Oryzias latipes: one gene and its partners. The protein of the gene in region 3 purifies or fractionates together with the protein of the main gene of each other region. This does not show direct contact. Links are inferred from orthologs where the notes say so. Each region holds a gene or a part of one and is shown on either strand. Other genes may lie near its edges. The genes, in order: tsen15, clp1 and tsen2.

Region 1 (6,098 bases), on a different chromosome or scaffold from region 3:
GCAGCATACATGAAACACGGAAGCTACACGAACATGCAGACTGTAGCCAGTGTTCATCTCCTGCTTTATGGAAAACCCAGTCCTCCAGTGCTTGGATTTATAGGGAAAACAACACGGATGAAACCCTTCTTTGAGATAAGGAGTCCAAACCTCCATGTGGGCCGGTACCACGCGCCTGTCTGTCCACGTCTGTATTTATGTTAAATAAGGCTCAGGGTTTAAGTGTTGTAATATCTGTCTCCCGCAGTCCTTCCTCTCATTAAGACACTTTGTAGCCATTAAAAATGCACACTCACTGGGACGCCGAAGCTGTCAAAGACGGCAGAAGGCTGACTTCCTGTTCCACTGCCACGACACATACTAGTCTGCTTCTGTGCAAACTGTAGGAATTCTGGAGAAGTTTTTTTTAGATTGAAATGAAATATAAAGCACTTTCAGACAACAAAAGTCAGGATTTTATTAACAGAGACAAATATTTTAAAAGATGAGCTTAACTCAAATTTGACTAAACACGGCTTCATCTGCTGATGCCGACTATAGCTTTATCGTACAACAAGGACGCCACATTCAAACCCATTTACAGAGGGGCCTGTAGGCCAAACCTCATCCAAAACAGACTATTTGGAAATTGCAAAGGGCTCTATGGCGAGGGAAAGTTTGTCATGTTTGCTACTAATCACACACGCCACATCCTCCAGGCTGTTAGGGGGGCGGGGGGGAACAAACGTCCTCCTCCAGATGAAGTCTATTTCAGGAAAGGCTTTGTGTATCTCAGCAGGCTGATGTAAACCCACATACCACAGCCATCACAGCAGCATGACGTCAGCCCAGCAGAGTCTAGCTGCTGAAATTGCCCGCCTGCCTGCAGCCACCTTAAGAGGACGTGGTGCATTTAGCGAAACGGAAAACACATTAAGGATGACAGGGGAGCTGGAAAAAACAATCCACAACCAAAAACAGAAACTCCAGAAGCATACCACCGCAATGCTCAAGTTTTCTCAAACTGGTTTGAGGAAAATGAAGATGGCCCTCCATGGTGAACATACCCCCGGCCGAGCCCAGTCTGTGGCAGGACTTGATATCAAAATGAGCTCCTTCAGTGGATACAATTCATATTTGTGCAAAAAGCAATGAAAAGCTTTTTATTAATAGCTTTTGTTTTTCCAAATTCCTACATTTGGACATCTTTCATCCGCCTGTGTCTCATTATTGTAATCTGTTTTAATGTAGATCCGCCTCCGTTTTCTAGAAGAATAAAAGTAGTTTCAGTTTTTGTCCCTCAGGCTGACGCTGTTGTTTTTCCTTCAAACAGAAGTCAGAGTTTTTGAATGATTTTGACTCGTATCCCTTTCAGAAATGTTCTGAAACATGTGCGTTGTTTAGTGAGGCTGTTGAACTGCCCCCACCCAAATATATATATATATATATATAAATATATATATATACACACAAAGCCATTTTGTCTACAGGCATGTATGACTAAATAAAAGCCTTCCTTATATGAGAAAGAGCAGAACAGTTTCTTTCTTGGACACTTTGCACAAGCTTTCTTGATAAACTCTGACAGATGTGCATGTGCAGATTGCACAGCTTTCTACAAACCATGGAGGGGTTTTAACTGACAGAAGCCCAGACTGCAGCAGAACCTTCTCTGCCCCATCCATCATCACTAAGACCTACAGTTTGGTTTTTCTTTGACTGGAAAGCAACGTTTTTGAGGCACTTAGAAAAGATTTAGAACCTTTGGCTCCCTTTTCCCCATCGGTGTTCTGCAATTTAAATACACGATTGAGGCCTTGATGTCCACTCTGAGAATCAAAAAGTTATTTTCTTATCTGCATCCTCATAATTAACAAATACAGAAAGGGAAAACTGAAGGGAAGTGTGCATTTACGGATCACAGCTGGTTTAGATCATTTCTGCCTGAGAGGTTGATCAATGCTGCCAGTCAGGGCTTTGTAAAGCTTTATCTTTTAAGTCTGCAGGTTTCGTTTTCCTTTTTTATGGATACGGTTTTGTTTTCTACTAAAAGAATTAGGGAGACAGTATTCAAGTCAAACAAACTGTTTACTTTTTTTTTTTTTTACATCAGAGTGGAGTTTAATTCCAAACAGCAAAAACGAATCTTCTCATCAGAACCGCAGGCACTGGACTCCAAAAGTTTTGGCTTTCTGCTCATCAGAATCCTGGAAAAACACTGTCATGGCAACAGAAGTGATCGACGTGCTTCACAAACAGGCTGGTGAAGATGCGTTCGCTGACATCGGTAAACGGCAAAATGACTTTGGTTTTTGACTACTCTGAATAAAATAGCAGCTCTGTGGGAGAGAAGTCTGCGGTGTCCATTTTAGGGATCGATGTAGGTCTTTCAGTCCACGGTGGAAATGCTTCCACATATGTACCCCTAGAATGATTCACATTGCTCCAGGATGAACCCATCAGCTCCGTTTCAAAACATACGTTGATGGCAGCCAGTAGCCCGTCAGGTAAAAAACAACTTCTTCACCTTTTACCCCTCATCTTCTCACTGTGCTGCTGGAAGCTGTGCTGTCGCCTCTTGCGATGCTGCCGTCGATCCAAATCCTGAAAGGGGCCCACAGGGGGCTCCGGGGTCACCAGCCCATCCGTCAGCCTCTGATAGACCAGGGTGGAGTCCGATGCCACGGCACACAAAAGTACGGGGAAGCCCCTGTCCAGTACGCTGCAGATGCTGCTCAGGAGACAAACAGCTGCATGTCACAAACCCGTGAGCGACGGTTCAAGTCCCAACTCTCATTTGGTGACTCATCACCTGCTGTGGCTCAAGGACTGATGAGCGGGCAGGGGGAGGACAGTGTGAACCGGGGCCCCATCCTTCTCCTTCCCTTCCAGCAAGATTAATCGCAGCTCCGGACTTTTGACGGACGACACCTCCTTCCAGCGACGCACTATGTGAAACCAAATTCACTTTTTATAGTTTGACACCTTTTACTTTATTTTATTTTATTCAGATTTTAAAAATCTGAATAAAAAAAAGTTTAAATTAAATGAAAATTAACTGAATTTTGATATATTTTGATAAATTACTGTAGTTTTCTTGTTTTTGTTTGGAATGCATTTAAGACACTAATATATTATTATTAATAATCAGAAAAATAATTCAAAAAAGTAACAAAAAAATAAAGTATACACATGTGAAAAAAATCTGAATAAAAAAAAAGGTTTAAATTACATGAAAATTAACTTTTTTTAATCTACAAACATGATTTGGGATTTTTGAACCAATTAGATGTACAACTAAATACAAAATTACTTTTTACAGAAGAAAAATCAGCTTATTTAAAACATTGTAAACATCACAGGGTTTCATTCAAAATTTGAATTGAAGCTACTTAGAAATGTTTGAAGGAATACAAGCAAAATCCACAGTCATTCTAATGCATTTTAAACTTAAATTAAAACTTGTTAATAGCCACTTCTGTACTTTGTTATCTTTGTACGTATTTAAGCTCCCTTTATATTTAATGAAACATATCCAGGCTTCATCACATCACCCTCAGTCAGATCCATGCACACCAGAAAGGCAGCGTGCAGCTGCGCGCTGTCTGCGGGCTCCAGAGCCTCCATCTGCCGGTACTGAAACACAGGCAGGCCGCCGTTAGTTCCGCTCACAGCGAACCTTCACGGTCACGTTACTCCAAGCTCCAGGCCGCTCACCGCAGGGTGCTGCAGGATCCAGTTCGCGGGTGGAGCTTTCTCCACCGGAGGTACTGACATCTTTCAGTGTTTATCCTTTAATACAACTACTTGCGCACTACTATAACCGCACGTTTTCGCTAGGAAGGTTGAGCTTTAATTTTTAATGGGTACTACAATAAATGTCGACCGGATGGGAACACGCTCCTTCCTTTATGTTCCGCACCCCAATGAGGCGTGGAGGACCTTTTTATTTCAATAAACGTTATTATACGTTTTTCAATTTGTAGAAATTCACATTCAGCAGCACGATAAAGAAACAATTGTTAATATCAAAAACACATATAAGACCAAACAACAATAATAGTTTAAGCCCTGTGTGTGTGTGTGTTTTTTCTATAAATGGTCATATACAAACCAAGTTAGGGCGCTCAAACGCAATAAATGCGCATGTAGAAAAACAAAACAAAAAACAGGCAAAGGCAAGGCAAAAAACAATTCAAAATAACAATACTTTTGTTATATTTTGATAAATTACTGGAGTTTTCTTGTTTTTGTTTGGAATGCATTTAAGACACTTCTAATATTCAGAAAAATAATTCAAAAAAATACTAAACAAAGGACATGTATTTTACCATTTCCATAAATTAATGAAATGTTTGCATAGAATAATAACAACATTGATGACATCAGAAATTCCCGGGTCCAGATTTTCCGTACAGAAAAAAACATCAGGTAAGGAAAAAAGAGAATCATTAAAACTTTGTGTAACCAATTGTGAAAATCAGTCCAACATATTTTTATCTGGTTGCAACTGTAAAAGAGATATTCTAACGTTTCAGTTTCAGATGAACAGAACATGCATGGTTCCGATTGAAATTTAAATCTTTTATGTAAAAAATCTCCAACAGGGTAAATTTTAGATATTATTTTAAAATGCGTTTCTTTCATTTTAGGTGGATGTGGGTACTTTGTGTATAAAGAAAAGAGTTACTAATTTATTGTGGCATTTTTTTTATCTTTTAGGGGAATATCATTAATTTTCCGCTCTAAAAATTGTGGTTTGGTTGCATTGTATTGTAGTATGTTATGAATAAGATTGAGTGAAGGTGTGGGAATTGCTTTACAGACTTTGTTATAACAGTTACTAGAATCCTTCATTTTGTATTTAGTTACAAACTCATTGTATGATAACAGCCTTCCATCAGTGCGCATCAAGTCATAGACAAATCACACACCATTATCATACCATTCAGACATAAACAAGGATTTCTTGTTTACAGTTATAAATCTGTTTTTCCATAAAACAGTGTTGTGAGGGAAGAAGTTATGAGTGAAAAGCATCTTCCCAAATTCTAAGGCATGCTTGTAAAAGTTTGATGGTTTCATTGGCATTTTTGATAGATTATAATCGCATTTCAACAAAAACTCCAGTCCCCTGACTTTCTCAAAGAGTTTGTTTGGGATATGATACCACATAGAATGAGGCTGGGAAATACAATCTTTTAACCATTTCATTCTAAACGCTACAATTTGTGATTTAAGGTCTAAAGCTTTTAAGCCGCCATTTTTATAATCTCTGACCAGTTTTGGTTTTCATATATAGTGAGTCTTATTTTTCCAAATAGATTTAAGGAGAATAGAATTAGACAACTTGATGTTTTTTGGGGATGTACATGATGAGTGGCAGGGATACACAAGTCTTGAAAAAACCTCCGCTTTGGATAATAGAATGCGGCCAAATATTGATAAGCCAAGTCCCAACCAATGATTTCATGTTTTCTATATTGTTTTTAGTCTGGGAGTAATATTTACACTTTCTCTATCGTTACTGTTTTTTGTTATTATTAGACCAAAATATTTCACTTCACTTTTTACATGTATGTTTTCAATATTACCTGCATTGCAGGTATGTATAGGTAAAATTTCACATTTCTTTTAGATTTAGGGTAAGGCCAGATGCACTTGAAAAAGAAAGTATTTTATTGAGAACAATAGGTACCATATATTCTAATGAGTCGAAGGCCTTAAAAAATAGGATAAGACTTTCCTGGGGAATAATTTGGTTGTAATCTAATATATCTAAGATTAAGCGAGTGTGGTGATGAGTATTCGCGAAGGCACTAAAGGAACATTCCGCTGCATTTTTCGCATTAAGATGACCTAAAACCGGGTCCTGTTCAAAAACCGCTGGATCTGGACTGCTCAAACCTGGATTAGTCTAAGGTGGACTCTGGGCGCAAAATGCGATAAAAATCAATCTATTTCACATTTTCACAAATCAGAAACTGGGTTTAATGTGTTCTTTACTATCTAATGCATAATTTAATCCAGGTTTGAGCAGTCCAGGTCCAGTGGTTTTTGAACAGGACCTGGCCTGAAGTGGACTCAGTGCGTAAAATGCGATAAAAATCAACCTTTTT
Region 2 (6,281 bases), on a different chromosome or scaffold from region 3:
TTTTTTTTACTTTTTGACTGGTGATTACAGGACAAAATATTACAGATAAATGCAGCAGGTTTTCTTCAGAAATTCAGTTCCTAATTTCAATGATGCATGATATCTTATTCTCATATATGGTGTAAAATGGGCCATTCATCATTGCTAATAAAATCATCAGATTTCTTTAAAAAAATGTATATGTAAAGTTATGTTTAAGTGTAAAAAGGAATTTACCCTATTTTTTCCACAGGTCCATCTGTTAAACTGTTCTTCCCTCTGGCCTGTCATAATGGTTATTAGTCTTTTTATGGGAGTGATACCTGATATATTTCAATTTTACTCCAATAAGTCCAAATTGTAAGATATGGCAGTAGTTAATTTTTTACATCCAGCCATGACAAGTATAAATTAAAGTATGGGTATGCTAATTTTGAACACGGATGAATATATTTCCTTAAAAAGGGTCTGATTCTGCCCAGACACAGTTAAGACCAGGGGCCTCATTTATAAAACTTTGCGTAGGATTTGCGTCAGAAGTGGCGTACGGATGAAACATAGGACGTGCGTACGCACAGAAATATTCGGAGTTATAAAACCGTGCGCACGCACATCCTACGCATCTTTCCCTTAATAAATCACAACCGATTCTAAATGCTGCGCAGCTTTTGCGGCTACATGACACGCCCATAGTTGCCCATAAATAGTCCGTGAAACGCCCACAAATGAATATTCATTGATTGCGAAACCATGCCAAACACGGAGAGAAAATCAAAAAAACGTAACTTCACTCAATGTGAAGTAGAAGTTATCGTTGGCGAGGTGGAAAAGAGGAGAATAATGTTGTTTGGAGGGCACAGTGTGGGCATTACTAATGCCAAAAAGGCACGTGAGTGGCAAACGGCGGCAGACGCCGAAAATGCTGCAGCCTCACAACCTCGGACCGTGCCCGAAATAAAAAAGAAAAGGTCGGACATCAAAGTCGAGGCAAAAAAACGTCTAGCGCTGAACCCCCCCCCCCCCACACACACACACACACCCGTGTCTGCCACGAGTGTGTGTGTGTGTGTGGGGGGGGGGGGGGACACCGGAGCTGACCCCTCCTGATGAGAGACTGGCGGCAATAATTGGGGAATCCCTTTTAAGTGGAGTGGTGACTGAGGCGGAGGGGGACACCCACGCGCCAGATGCACCGGGTGACACACCCCCAAAAGCCCGCAGAGGAAGTCGGAACCGGCTCATAAGCCACTCGTCCTCGTTTGCCAGCAAGTCTCCTTGCTGTCTAAAGATGCGTTCACTCCGAATTCTTCCATTTGCCACATCTTCTAAGAGAGCAAGATCAGCCATTGTGCGTCATTACGCATTGTGATGGGGCATTTTATTTCCCTCCATTTAATTACATCTGACAAGCTACAGATGTCGGGAATAATCGACGTGGAAATGGGAAATTGTTCAGCGCAAATGTAATTTCTTGTTGCTTTCTGAATGGTCGAGACAAACGCCATACATTGTTTCATGAAAAATAAAACAAAATAAAGGCATATGCATGAATACCATAATTCTGTAGCTTATGAAGAAATATTTTACTATGAAAACAACTTTCCCCAGTGGAGAATTAATGCATCTCTCTCTATCTATCCATCTGTCTGTCTGATTGCTCCTATATCTGCTCCGCCAGACGGACACATTGACGGGAATATCAGTTGTGTACATTATTTCGTTCTGTTAACTATATTATTTATATTATTTATGAGGATGAATTGCACAACATGCCAATATTGCAGAACATATTTCACTTTTCTTTTTGCAAATATGTGCTCATTTGAATTTCTGTTGTAATTTTTGTTTGATTTTTTTGTTTGTTTCACTGCTGATCGATCAAACGGGTGTTCGTGTAGGCTGTTAATTGTAAGACTTGCTTTGTGAAGTCTTCATGTTATTTATCAGAGGCAGTATTGTCATTTTCACTTTCACGTGTTTCTTCCATCTGCCGACGGCGTCGCCGTTTCTCATTTCATCCGTTTTTGTGCGTACGCCTGGGTCAGAGCTTGCGTGAAGGACCGCACATTTTCCCGTCAAGTTTGCTTTTTATAAATCTCAACTATTGCGTAGAGAGTGGCGTACGCCTTCTTTTGTGCGTACGCAACGTTTATAAATGAGGCCCCTGGAATCAAAACAGAATCAGTTTATAGAAAAATCACGAAATATAAATCACAACCACGAGGGGGCAGCAATGCAGCGAGCGAGAACGCTGTTCTTTCTTACTATTGGTTGCTAGAGTCTTGACGTCATCATCCTGCGACGAACATCTCACTGGGTACACAATTTTTTGGTTCTGTGCTTAAGCTTTGTATATATCAGTATAAGGACGCGAATTATACAGTTTTGTATTCATTAAGCAAATTTGAAGACATTTAGGTGATCTCTGTTATTATTTATATTTGTTCGACATAAAACCCCACATTTCTTCCTTTCCTGCTAATCATCAGTTAGCTTGCCTTGTCGTGTGTTGTTTGACCATTTATTAATTAATGTTGCATTTACCTTTAACTTAACGATATTGTTGTTTTACATGTTGCACCCTGTTATGATTATATAACACCGTTTCTTTCTACAGCGATGGCAACAGAGTCTGTAGAAAAAACTAGCGACGATGCTCCGGCTAACGGCAAAGATTGCACCCGATTCGACTTGGAGAAGGAGACCGAGCTTCGGTTTGAGGTGGAAGCAGGAGAGGCCGCGGAGCAAGTGGAGCTGGAACTCCTGTCGGGACTGGCTGAAGTGTTCGGTTCAGAACTGAACCGCAACAAGAAGTACGTGTTTGGACCAGGATCCAAAATAGCTGTTTTCACCTGGCAAGGATGCAGTGTGAATCTTCATGGAAAGCCAGAGGTGAGTTTAGGATGAAATAAATAATCAGTCTTTTCTGTCCAGTTCTCCATATTAACTTCGAAACATCACCTATTATTTTTTTTTTAACCTCAGGTGGCCTATGTGTCTAAAGATACTCCCATGCTGCTCTACCTGAACACCCACGCTGCCCTGGAACAGATGAGAAAACAAGCAGAACGGGAAAATGAGAGGGGACCAAGGGTGAGGAGCAGCCAGATGGCTAAAATCCCCCCCTATAAATGTAACTTCTCTGTATATTTTGTATTACAAATACATATTTGCTGGCTTTCCAGGTGATGGTGGTGGGTCCCACAGATGTAGGGAAGTCAACAGTGTGTCGAATGCTTCTCAACTACGCTGTCAGGGTTGGCAGGAGACCAACCCTTGTGGAACTGGATGTTGGACAAAGTGGTGTAAGTACATTTAAAGTTGCACAACTTTAAATGTTTTAACCTCGCTACTATAGTCCAGGGAATGGTGTTAGATAGTATAAGACAAGTTGTGCAGACCTAATCTTTATAGTTTTTAAAGTTTTCCCAATGTAAATGGTTTAAATTAAGAAACAAAGCTTGTTATCACTTGTTAGTTCTGAAAATTAATCGTCTTGTCCTCTGTTATCCATAATGCTAAGTAGTATTTGGTTTCATTTATTCATATAAAAAAACTGCATATTTTCAGTGATAAATCAAAAATGTGTGTTTGAGATATTTGTACATCAATGACTAATTTCAATGTTTTCTAGGCATCATCTTTGAATGTCAAGGAGTTACCAAAACACTAGTCACAATCTTGTTGCTCATTGGTCTTTTTTTTCTTTCTTTCTTTTTTTTTTAGCTATTGTACTTCTAAGATGGTTGAACTGTTACTTGTTGTAACATGTGTTTCTGTATAATGACTTGCTGCAAGTACATTTGTTAGTTTTTTTTTTGTTTCCTGTTACAAAAAGTACATTATTTTATTTGTAGGATGCAGATTATTTGTCTTTGTAAACCTGCAATGTAAATGTTGAACAGTTCAGATTTCATTGTGTAATGAATTTACAGTAAGGTGTGACTAAACTTTGTTCTCTCTTAGGTGTCAGTACCAGGGACGGTGTCAGCGCTGTGCATTGAACGGCCGGCGGATGTGGAGGAGGGCTTCTCTGTCCAGGCTCCTCTGGTCTACCACTTTGGCTCCACCACTCCAGGCACCAACATTAAACTTTATAACAAGGTTAGAAGATTGTAGATATACAGTCATTTTATGTTTGTCATTGGCTGTCATCATTTATGCTGTTATTTTCTACTGCTTTTGTGTTTTTATCACTGTGGTTAGCTGACATCCTGCCTCGCTGAGATGTTTTCCCAGCGCTGTGAGGTAAACAGGAAGGCCAGCGTAGGAGGCTGCATCATCAACACCTGCGGCTGGGTGAAGGGTTCAGGATACCAGGCTTTGGTCCACTGTGCCTCCACCTTTCAGGTGGATGTGGTGCTGGTTTTGGACCACGAAAGGCTCTACAATGAGCTTAAACGCGACCTGCCCCACTTTGTGCGAGTTGTACTTCTGCCCAAGTCTGGGGGGGTGGTGGAGCGCTCCAAAGAGTGCCGGCGGGACACCAGGGATGAAAAGATCCGCGAGTATTTCTATGGATTCCGTGGAGTGTCCTACTACCCCTTTTCCTATGAGGTGCGCTTCTCTGACGTCCGCATTTACAAAATTGGTGCACCGTCTATCCCAGACTCGTGCTTACCTCTAGGGATGTCTCAGGACGATACGCAGCTAAAGCTGGTGCCTGTCACACCAGGGAGAGACCTGACGTACCATGTTCTGAGCGTGAGCAGCGTTGACGACGGAGACGAAGGTGCAAGAAAGAGCATTGTGGAGATTCCTGTGTGTGGTTTTATTGTGGTAACTTTTGTTGACACTCAGACACAGGTGATGAAAGTGTTATCCCCAGCACCCAGACCTCTCCCCAGACACACTCTGCTTATCATGGACATACGCTTTATGGACATGAAGTAATGCAGAACATACTTGAAGTGAGGAGAGATGGGTGCATTTGTTTAAAAGTTTTTGGTGTTTTGTAAAAAACCTCTGTAACAAAGTACCTCAGCAATTTGTTGTAAATGATGACATATTTTTAAACTTTTATGTACAAATGCAAAATCTGTCATGTCATTTTTTTCAGTTCCTTAAATAAAAAAAGTATTCTTTGTTATGGAAAGAAAAAAAGTATCTTTTGTATTTATTTTCGTTTAAAAGAACAAAGATTTAGCATTCATTGTTTAGTGTGTGGTTAATCTGAGTCATTTTTCTATGTTTATCCAGAAATTGTCAAGATTTTCTTAGAAACTGTCATTCCTTTTTTTTTCTTCGTTTACCTTGCGTCAGGTGCAAAATATTAGAAAACGAATCCTTGCAAAACTTCTCCTTTTATGATTAGTTTTCAAAATGTAGACTTAATAGTGCACTAATGTTAAAAAATTCAATTGTAAAAACTACGTAATGTAAGTTTAAAAAATTCTGAATTTTCCAATGGGAGCAACCAGCAACCACCCTTAAATCAAAAATAATGGACATTTTACATTTTAAAGTACTATAACAGACATTTTAGTACCTTTCTGACAGTTTAAAACAAGTAAAAGTGTTTAAATTAGAAGTTTGTCATACTTTTCAGTGAAAAAGTGAATGTCTAAAGTTTTGAAGTATGAATTAAAATAGGTTATGGAATATATTCCTAAATCATCTGTTTGGTGAAAAGGTGGCCTAAATTTCTTAGTGAAATGTCTGCTGGGAAACTTCAGTCCAATAAGTCAATTTTCTCAAGTTTTGTTACGCGAGACTTAATTCCACCACAACTTTTCTCTTCAAACTTGGATATAGTGCAAAAACTCTTACATTTTGCACAAAAACCAAACTTTATATTTACATAACTTCTATGATACTAAAATTAACAATGTAAATCCATTACTTGACGATAAAGAAGAATGGTAGACATATAATCATTTCATAGTTAAAAACACAGTTGTACCTCAAAAAAAGTTAGAGCTGGTTTTACATGAAGTCCACATTGTTGACATTAATTGATATGAAGTGTACAAACCGGTTTATTAGTACTCAGAGAACTGCAAATACTGTAACCAATGTAAACAGAGCCCTTAAGAAAAAGTTAATGGAATACAATCTTTTTATAACCTTATAGGTAGTCAAAGAATTAAAAATTAGATATTATCCAGTAAAGATTATTTTTGTCGATTTTTCCCTGTTTGTTAAAGTAAAAAAAAAAGCTCTTTCTGTCAGTGACATGGAGAACGGCTATAACATCTTTTTGTGGATTATTCTTTTGTCTTTATAATTTGGAAGGATCTACAACATACCTTAGAGCAGGGGTGTCAAACTCATTTTCACTGAGGGCCACTTCAGCATAGTGG
Region 3 (6,072 bases):
CTGGGCTCCAGTTTTATTTCTGGAGCCCAAGGAGACAAACAGAAAGCTGTGAAATCTACAAACCAACTAGACCCAGATGGGGAGGGATGAGGAACAGCAGATAGCTAAAACTAGAAAACTGGCAGCAACGCTGAACAAACATCACAGCTCCACACCTGAACCTTCAGCTTGCTCAGGCAAACAGGTGAATCAAGCTCCTCCTTCAGTAGCTCACCAGGATACACGATGTAACACAGCATCAGCTCCTGTGAGATAAAAACCAATCAGAGGGACATGGCAGGCCAAGTGTACCTCCTCCCGATGAATCTGTACCTTGGAGACACTGGCGGTAATTCTGCTAAGGGCAGCAAAAGAACGCCATGAAAACGGACGCAGAGTTGAGCCCCTGAACTCATCATCAGTTTGTTCTACAACCACAGAGTAACTACAGGCAGAGGACAGGCATGATTAGACACTCATAAAACCGTGGCTGATCAGAGTAAAGTCACCTGTGTGAGCGTCACCTGGCGTGGTAGAAAGGGGGTCCCTTCCTGTAAAGCACTGCAAAAAAACACATTATAGTTATCAAGCTTCTCTTGTCCCCTCAGTGTGAGGAAAATTCTTTCACAAACACAGGTAAAAGGTCTCAGCTCTGTGTGTGATCTTACTGAAGTCCACACCATATTTGGCCCCGCTGCCTCCTTTGGGGACCCAGCCCCTGCTTCGGAAATGATGATATGCAGCGTAAGAGCTGGTGAAGTCCGGACGTAGAGACCTAAACCTTCGCCACAGCTGAATGACTGACTGTGGCTCCTGACCAACCACAATGCACAACAGGGTTTACTTCTTCATATATAGCAATGCAACAAATATAACAGCCAAAACAATCATAACTCACCTGGTCCAGGTACACAGATAAGCAGCCCAAGCTGTAGACAAGGAAGAAGGCCTGCAGAGTTCAGGGACATAAAGGTGAGAAGGCCACTTAAATGTCCCAACTGTGGATGCAGGTGCCAGGTGGGTTACCTCCTCCAGGCTGAGCTGCAGGTACTCAGTTAGAGACAATGGGCTCCGCTTCACTTCTCTAACCCCACCTTCATTCTGTAGAAACACAAACCTAATTAACAGCTCATCAAACACTTAACAACATGCAGATTCATATAGGGACTTGCCTGGTTCTCAGAGACTACCAGCACAAAACCAGGACCTGGAACCTGAAAGCCAAGATCTGGTTCAGAGTCTTGATCGGAGTCAAAACTGGGTTCAGAGTTCTGGTCAAAGTTTAGGTCCTGTATGTCCGACCTGAGTGTTGAAACAAAACACAGTTAAGTTAACCCCCATGTCTTGTTTCTGAGTTTAAAATATACCAAGAGGTATCAAAATGTTATAGTTCCTTAAATGAACTCTAGAGTTGGGTTTATAAAAGGGGCAGTTTCCAACTCCAGAGTTGTTGTTGTTTCTCTCTCGGCTTTTCCCATCAGGGGTCGCCACAGCGAACGAGTCGCATGGTAAACCTGGCAATGTTTTACGCCGGATGCCCTTCCTGACGCAACCCTCTCAAAGCAACCGGGCTTGGGACCGGCACAGAAGTTGAGAAGGGAAGGTTTCCCACTCCAGAGTAATGAGAGGAAAAGAAAATCCCACTTCACACCAAAATGGGAGTGTATGTACAGGCTGAATACAAAACCTTTTTGTTTTCTATTTCTTTATGAACTCTTCTCGACAGCTTGCTGTTTTGATTTTATTAGTGTTTCACCTTTCAACACTGGAGCTTTAGCTCCGGTGTTTGTTGATTCCCCTTTGAATTACAGTAACTCTTTGACCATTCAGAATGTCAGAATTCCAACAGATTCTGACACTGAAGCTGATTCTTTGCAACACTTTTCAGTAATGAAGTGCTGCATATCAGCACAAAGCTGCTTTTCTCAATAATTCCGTAAACGATTGAAGAGTTAGAATAAGTCAAAGAGCATGTTATTTCCTGTTGTCTGTGACACCTCTGGTTTTAAAGAACTTGTGCCATTTTTGACTGGGAAGAGCATACTCCAGTCAACTTGGCAGACCCATTTCACCTCTATTTTGGTGTTTTGAATTTGGGTGACATCAGAGATTATCTGTCCATTTAGTAAATGTCTATGGATGAAACAAGCACTTCACCTGCATGGTCTCTTGGCCTCAGGCTCCGCCTCAGATTCCCTTCCCAGACTTTTTGTGTTGTCACAAACTCCATCCTCAGTCTTTGCCCCCTCAGCCTCCCTCAGTTCACTCTTCACATCCTCTATCTCCAATTTCTGCGTTAGTTTGTGAAATATTTGATCCACAGCCTCTGCAGACATTCCCTGAGCACACAGACTTGCCTTTGCCCATCCAAGTAGTTCCTCATACCTGTAAAAGACTGAAATGTAAGGCAGGAAGTGATGTCATCAGCCAGACAGAACAAGATGCTGCTAACCTGGCCTGAGAGACAACGGGAAGGTACAAATCTTCGAAATCTGTAAGACAAACAAACCAGCTGACTGCACAGAGCTGTGTGGGTTAGACCAGATCAATGATGATCTCATGCAGGTGCAGGTGTAGACTCACCCTCCCATTTTTCTGAAATGCTGTGATCTGGTCTGGCTCTGGACAAGATGCCTTTTCCAAAATAACCCTGAAAAATCAAACCTAGTTAGATAAAACTGAAGTAAATCTCCTTAGTTTTTACTTGGTTCTTTCCATCACTGCTAGTCCTTGTAGTCAGAGGCATAGAGCAGCAATAGTGTCACCATAGGACCAAGGTGGGAAAGAAGACAATAATGAAAACACAAACTGACATGTTTCTTCCCGTTTTAAGAGCTTTCCATCCAGGAAACTAAAGGGTTTACATTCAGTTTGATTTGATCAGTTTTGATTTATTGATCATTATCATTTGGCATGATGATGAAGTCCTCTCGTTGATTATTTATTATGGTAAAAGAAAGACGGGATGCAATAGATTGTTTTCATCAGAGAAATACAAAATTTACGCCCAGCTTTAACAGTTATCTGAGTCCAGCACATTTAACTGTTGCTGCAGATGCACCTATAATGTATCAGTGCGACGGCATTAAACGAACAAAAATAGTATTCATGTAATTAAGGCATTCTAAACTAAATCCTATAATCTACACTGGATCTTTTCAGTAACATTTTGCAGGATTGCTTTGCTGTCAGTGAGTCGGAACTGGCAACCCTGACCTGGTTGTGTATCTTCCTGACATGGTCGGGGTGGCAGACAAGCACGTGCTGGTTGATGAGCTCAGCCCGGTACACGCACTTCTCCCCGGCACTACGGATGACCGGCAGCGGAGCCTCCAGTTCTTCGTAAACACGCGCGCGCCGCCGGGGAGCGCGGAAGTCGGCCTGCATTGCTGTGGACCCGTTACTAAACGGCTGACCTCTTTGTGGGATTCTGACCTGGAAATTTGTGTACTGTTTTCTGAACCAGAATAAATGTGGGTTTTGCCGTGCACGTGGGTCCTCTCTAATCAAACTGGTCCTTTCGAATTTTTTTCTCTGTAGTTACTCATACTTTTACAAAATTGCTCAAGAGAGCCACCTATTGGCATGGAGGTAAACTACAATCCACCTTTAAAGCGACATACAAACAGTCCATGATTCCCTAAAGTTTGCTTGTCTACAATAATGACTATGAATGAAATTGAAAGGAAACTATACAGGTTTCCTAGTTGGTTTTATTTAGTTTTTACCACAAACTAATTTAAAAACAACAATAAATGCTCCACTGAACATGGGATAAGTGTAATACATCACACCAAACTGAAACAAAAATATTCATTTCCAGAATTTGTCAAAAATGTAAAATTATTACTAGTTCCATCCTCTATGTTACACATTAATAAACCAGCAGAGGTCAGACAATTTTGCACATCCTTCAAGAAAATTTTACTGTGCCTTAATAAATGCCTCATGAAATCTTTTAAATCAGCCATGTGTTTGCTTGAACTTGTATTTTGTCATTTCTGCTCATGTTTGTGTATACATGTCTTTATCTCCTGTGTTGTTTTGTCAGACATAAAAATGAGCAGAAAAATCCTGCTCATTTTCAATAAACCGAAAGGTGAACAACAATACAAGATAAATGTTTAAATATTGTGCAAAATAAAATTAAAAAAACAAGAAAAAACAAAACAAAACAAAAGGCAAAATGATCTTTAGCAACAATAAAACCACTCTGAGGAATCCCTCCACACTTACTGTATCTGCACAGTTCTGATACATGTTTGTTTTGTTATTGCTTCATTGAACGAATAAATAAAACAGACATCCATCAACATTTAGTTTTAAACACCAATAAAAAAGAAACATGTTGGAGAAAAAAAAAAAATCCCAATTATGTTTACGACTTTATGTTTTATGTCGGGGTGTCGTCTCTGCAGATGGAGACAAACTGGGTGAAAATCTTCTGGTTTAAGAAGTGCGTTTTAAAAGAATAAAGTTTATGTACTGAATGGTTTATGAGCCAGTTTTGATTTGTTCTGATCCGTACTGCTGCTGGAAAGCAATATATCATTCAGAACTTGTGTCAGTGTGACCGCTAAGGGTGTATTCAGATTCAAATCCTTTGTTCTTGTTGGGAAAACAGTATAAGAAGCAATGTGTGTCACGTTGAAAAGTGTTTTAATGAGCCTGCATACATCCAACCAAATTTCAATGAGTGCTGTGTCTCATTGTTCTGGTTTCATGGCATAGTTTTAAAGTAAATTCTGTTAAGGAATTACAAGGTATTTTTTATGGTGACGTTACAGCACCGCCGGGTGCATGCCGCGTAACCACACAGAAAAGCATGTAAGACGCATTTTCAGCTGAGTTAAAACAAACGTAACAAGTAAACAGTTGGACTCTTTTTTTCCCTCTTTGATAACATGACAATCATTGCTTCACATTTCTTCGCAGCTCATCGGTTCCTTCATTCCTACTCTGTTTACGTCAGCTATGGGGGCTGTTTTGGTTCAGTTGTTCCGCTCAGAGGACGGATTGTATTCAGACTGAGGAATCCCAGAGCAAACCAAAGCTTGGTCCGATTGGAAATGAACCAAGACCCCCTCCAAAGATGGGTCAGAGAGCGGTGTCTGGTCCTGGACCAGGGTCCACCTGGGTGTATTCAGACTGAAAATTTGTTCCGGATTATCCAGGAATGAAATCTGGTTCACTTAAAACAAACCAAATGTGTCCAGTCTGAATTCACCCTTAGTCTAGTGGGTCTGTTTTCATTGGGTCAAAGGTCAGGCCACTTTAGCTACTGGGTTCTGCTGCCTGCGGTCGGTCCACCATGTAGAACTGGTGTTTCTCGATGTGTTGGACCAGTGTGGTATATTTTGACACCCTCTTCATCCTTGGCAAGATGAAGCAGCGAGTGAAATCCTCTTTGCTCAGGGAGCTGCAACCCTCCACTGTCAGGACGGTATTTAGAAACTGCAGGCAGAAGCTGAAGCAGTTGTGGTCGTCTTCATGGAATCTGGAAGACAAAGGTGGGTAGGGGCTTTGACTGGCATCACCTGTGTTGACTGTGTCACCTGTGAGTTACCTGTGCCACACAGGGTCCCACATGGGTCCCTCTGAGAAGCGCTCCAAGTACTGATCCCACTGAGCCAACAGGTGGAACATGTCTGGTCGGACCAAAGGGATGTTGATGCAGCGCTCCCAGCCTCTCTGTTCTTTCTGCACCCCATTCTGGGTGTAGTTGTACACCACTCCTGCACACAGGTACCCAAAGGTGAGCTGCAGGCATGAGGGACAGCTTCCAAAACAATTTAACTGTGCTCTTGTCTTCACAGCAGCCAGCAGAATTCCAGAGAAGAGAAGTTGGACTCCCCAAAAACAAGTTTTACCTTTTGTATTGGAGATCCCAGTGTGCAGATCTGAAGTCCCATTGAAGTCGCTATATAACACACAGTAGGATGAACTGGTTATATACATGTGTCAGATTGGTTCTGTTAGATGGGGCTGTATGTTTTTCCAGTCTTGTCCTCACCATTTCTGTGGTTTCCGCAGTGGGGATGTAGATCAGAAGGGCTGACACATCATAGCAGACCACGGTGTCATCTGTGTTAC

Evidence for each region.
Region 1: the proteins of tsen2 (region 3) and tsen15 purify together in Homo sapiens (affinity purification with mass spectrometry; 4 studies listed by BioGRID and IntAct, counting the BioPlex papers as one, with this or other methods). This does not show direct contact. The link is inferred for Oryzias latipes from reciprocal best matches to the Homo sapiens genes TSEN2 and TSEN15.
Region 2: the proteins of tsen2 (region 3) and clp1 purify together in Homo sapiens (affinity purification with mass spectrometry; 3 studies listed by BioGRID and IntAct, counting the BioPlex papers as one, with this or other methods). This does not show direct contact. The link is inferred for Oryzias latipes from reciprocal best matches to the Homo sapiens genes TSEN2 and CLP1.

The regions. Positions count from the first base shown.
Region 1 is NC_019875.2:13,672,563-13,678,660, forward strand, and holds the start of tsen15 (tRNA-splicing endonuclease subunit Sen15), read right to left. Parts: upstream 3,875-6,098; 5' UTR 3,757-3,874; coding exon 3,697-3,756; intron 3,616-3,696; coding exon 3,534-3,615; intron 2,928-3,533; coding exon 2,792-2,927; intron 2,711-2,791; coding exon 2,507-2,710; intron 1,284-2,506; exon of another isoform or gene 1-1,283. UniProt on the Homo sapiens protein: Non-catalytic subunit of the tRNA-splicing endonuclease complex, a complex responsible for identification and cleavage of the splice sites in pre-tRNA. It cleaves pre-tRNA at the 5' and 3' splice sites to release the intron.
Region 2 is NC_019868.2:14,102,747-14,109,027, reverse strand, and holds clp1 (polyribonucleotide 5'-hydroxyl-kinase Clp1), read left to right. Parts: upstream 1-2,206; 5' UTR 2,207-2,296; intron 2,297-2,304; exon of another isoform or gene 2,305-2,397; intron 2,398-2,596; 5' UTR 2,597-2,598; coding exon 2,599-2,871; intron 2,872-2,964; coding exon 2,965-3,072; intron 3,073-3,164; coding exon 3,165-3,284; intron 3,285-3,945; coding exon 3,946-4,083; intron 4,084-4,185; coding exon 4,186-4,872; 3' UTR 4,873-5,016; downstream 5,017-6,281. UniProt on the Homo sapiens protein: Polynucleotide kinase that can phosphorylate the 5'-hydroxyl groups of double-stranded RNA (dsRNA), single-stranded RNA (ssRNA), double-stranded DNA (dsDNA) and double-stranded DNA:RNA hybrids. dsRNA is phosphorylated more efficiently than dsDNA, and the RNA component of a DNA:RNA hybrid is phosphorylated more efficiently than the DNA component.
Region 3 is NC_019863.2:19,268,205-19,274,276, reverse strand, and holds the start of tsen2 (tRNA-splicing endonuclease subunit Sen2), read right to left. Parts: upstream 3,539-6,072; 5' UTR 3,367-3,538; coding exon 3,196-3,366; intron 2,630-3,195; coding exon 2,563-2,629; intron 2,472-2,562; coding exon 2,432-2,471; intron 2,365-2,431; coding exon 2,137-2,364; intron 1,282-2,136; coding exon 1,152-1,281; intron 1,081-1,151; coding exon 1,006-1,080; intron 929-1,005; coding exon 878-928; intron 793-877; coding exon 648-792; intron 541-647; coding exon 504-540; intron 425-503; coding exon 313-424; intron 246-312; coding exon 156-245; intron 1-155. Other genes in the region: mkrn2os (MKRN2 opposite strand protein), read right to left, coding at 5,254-5,476, 5,546-5,714, 5,850-5,899.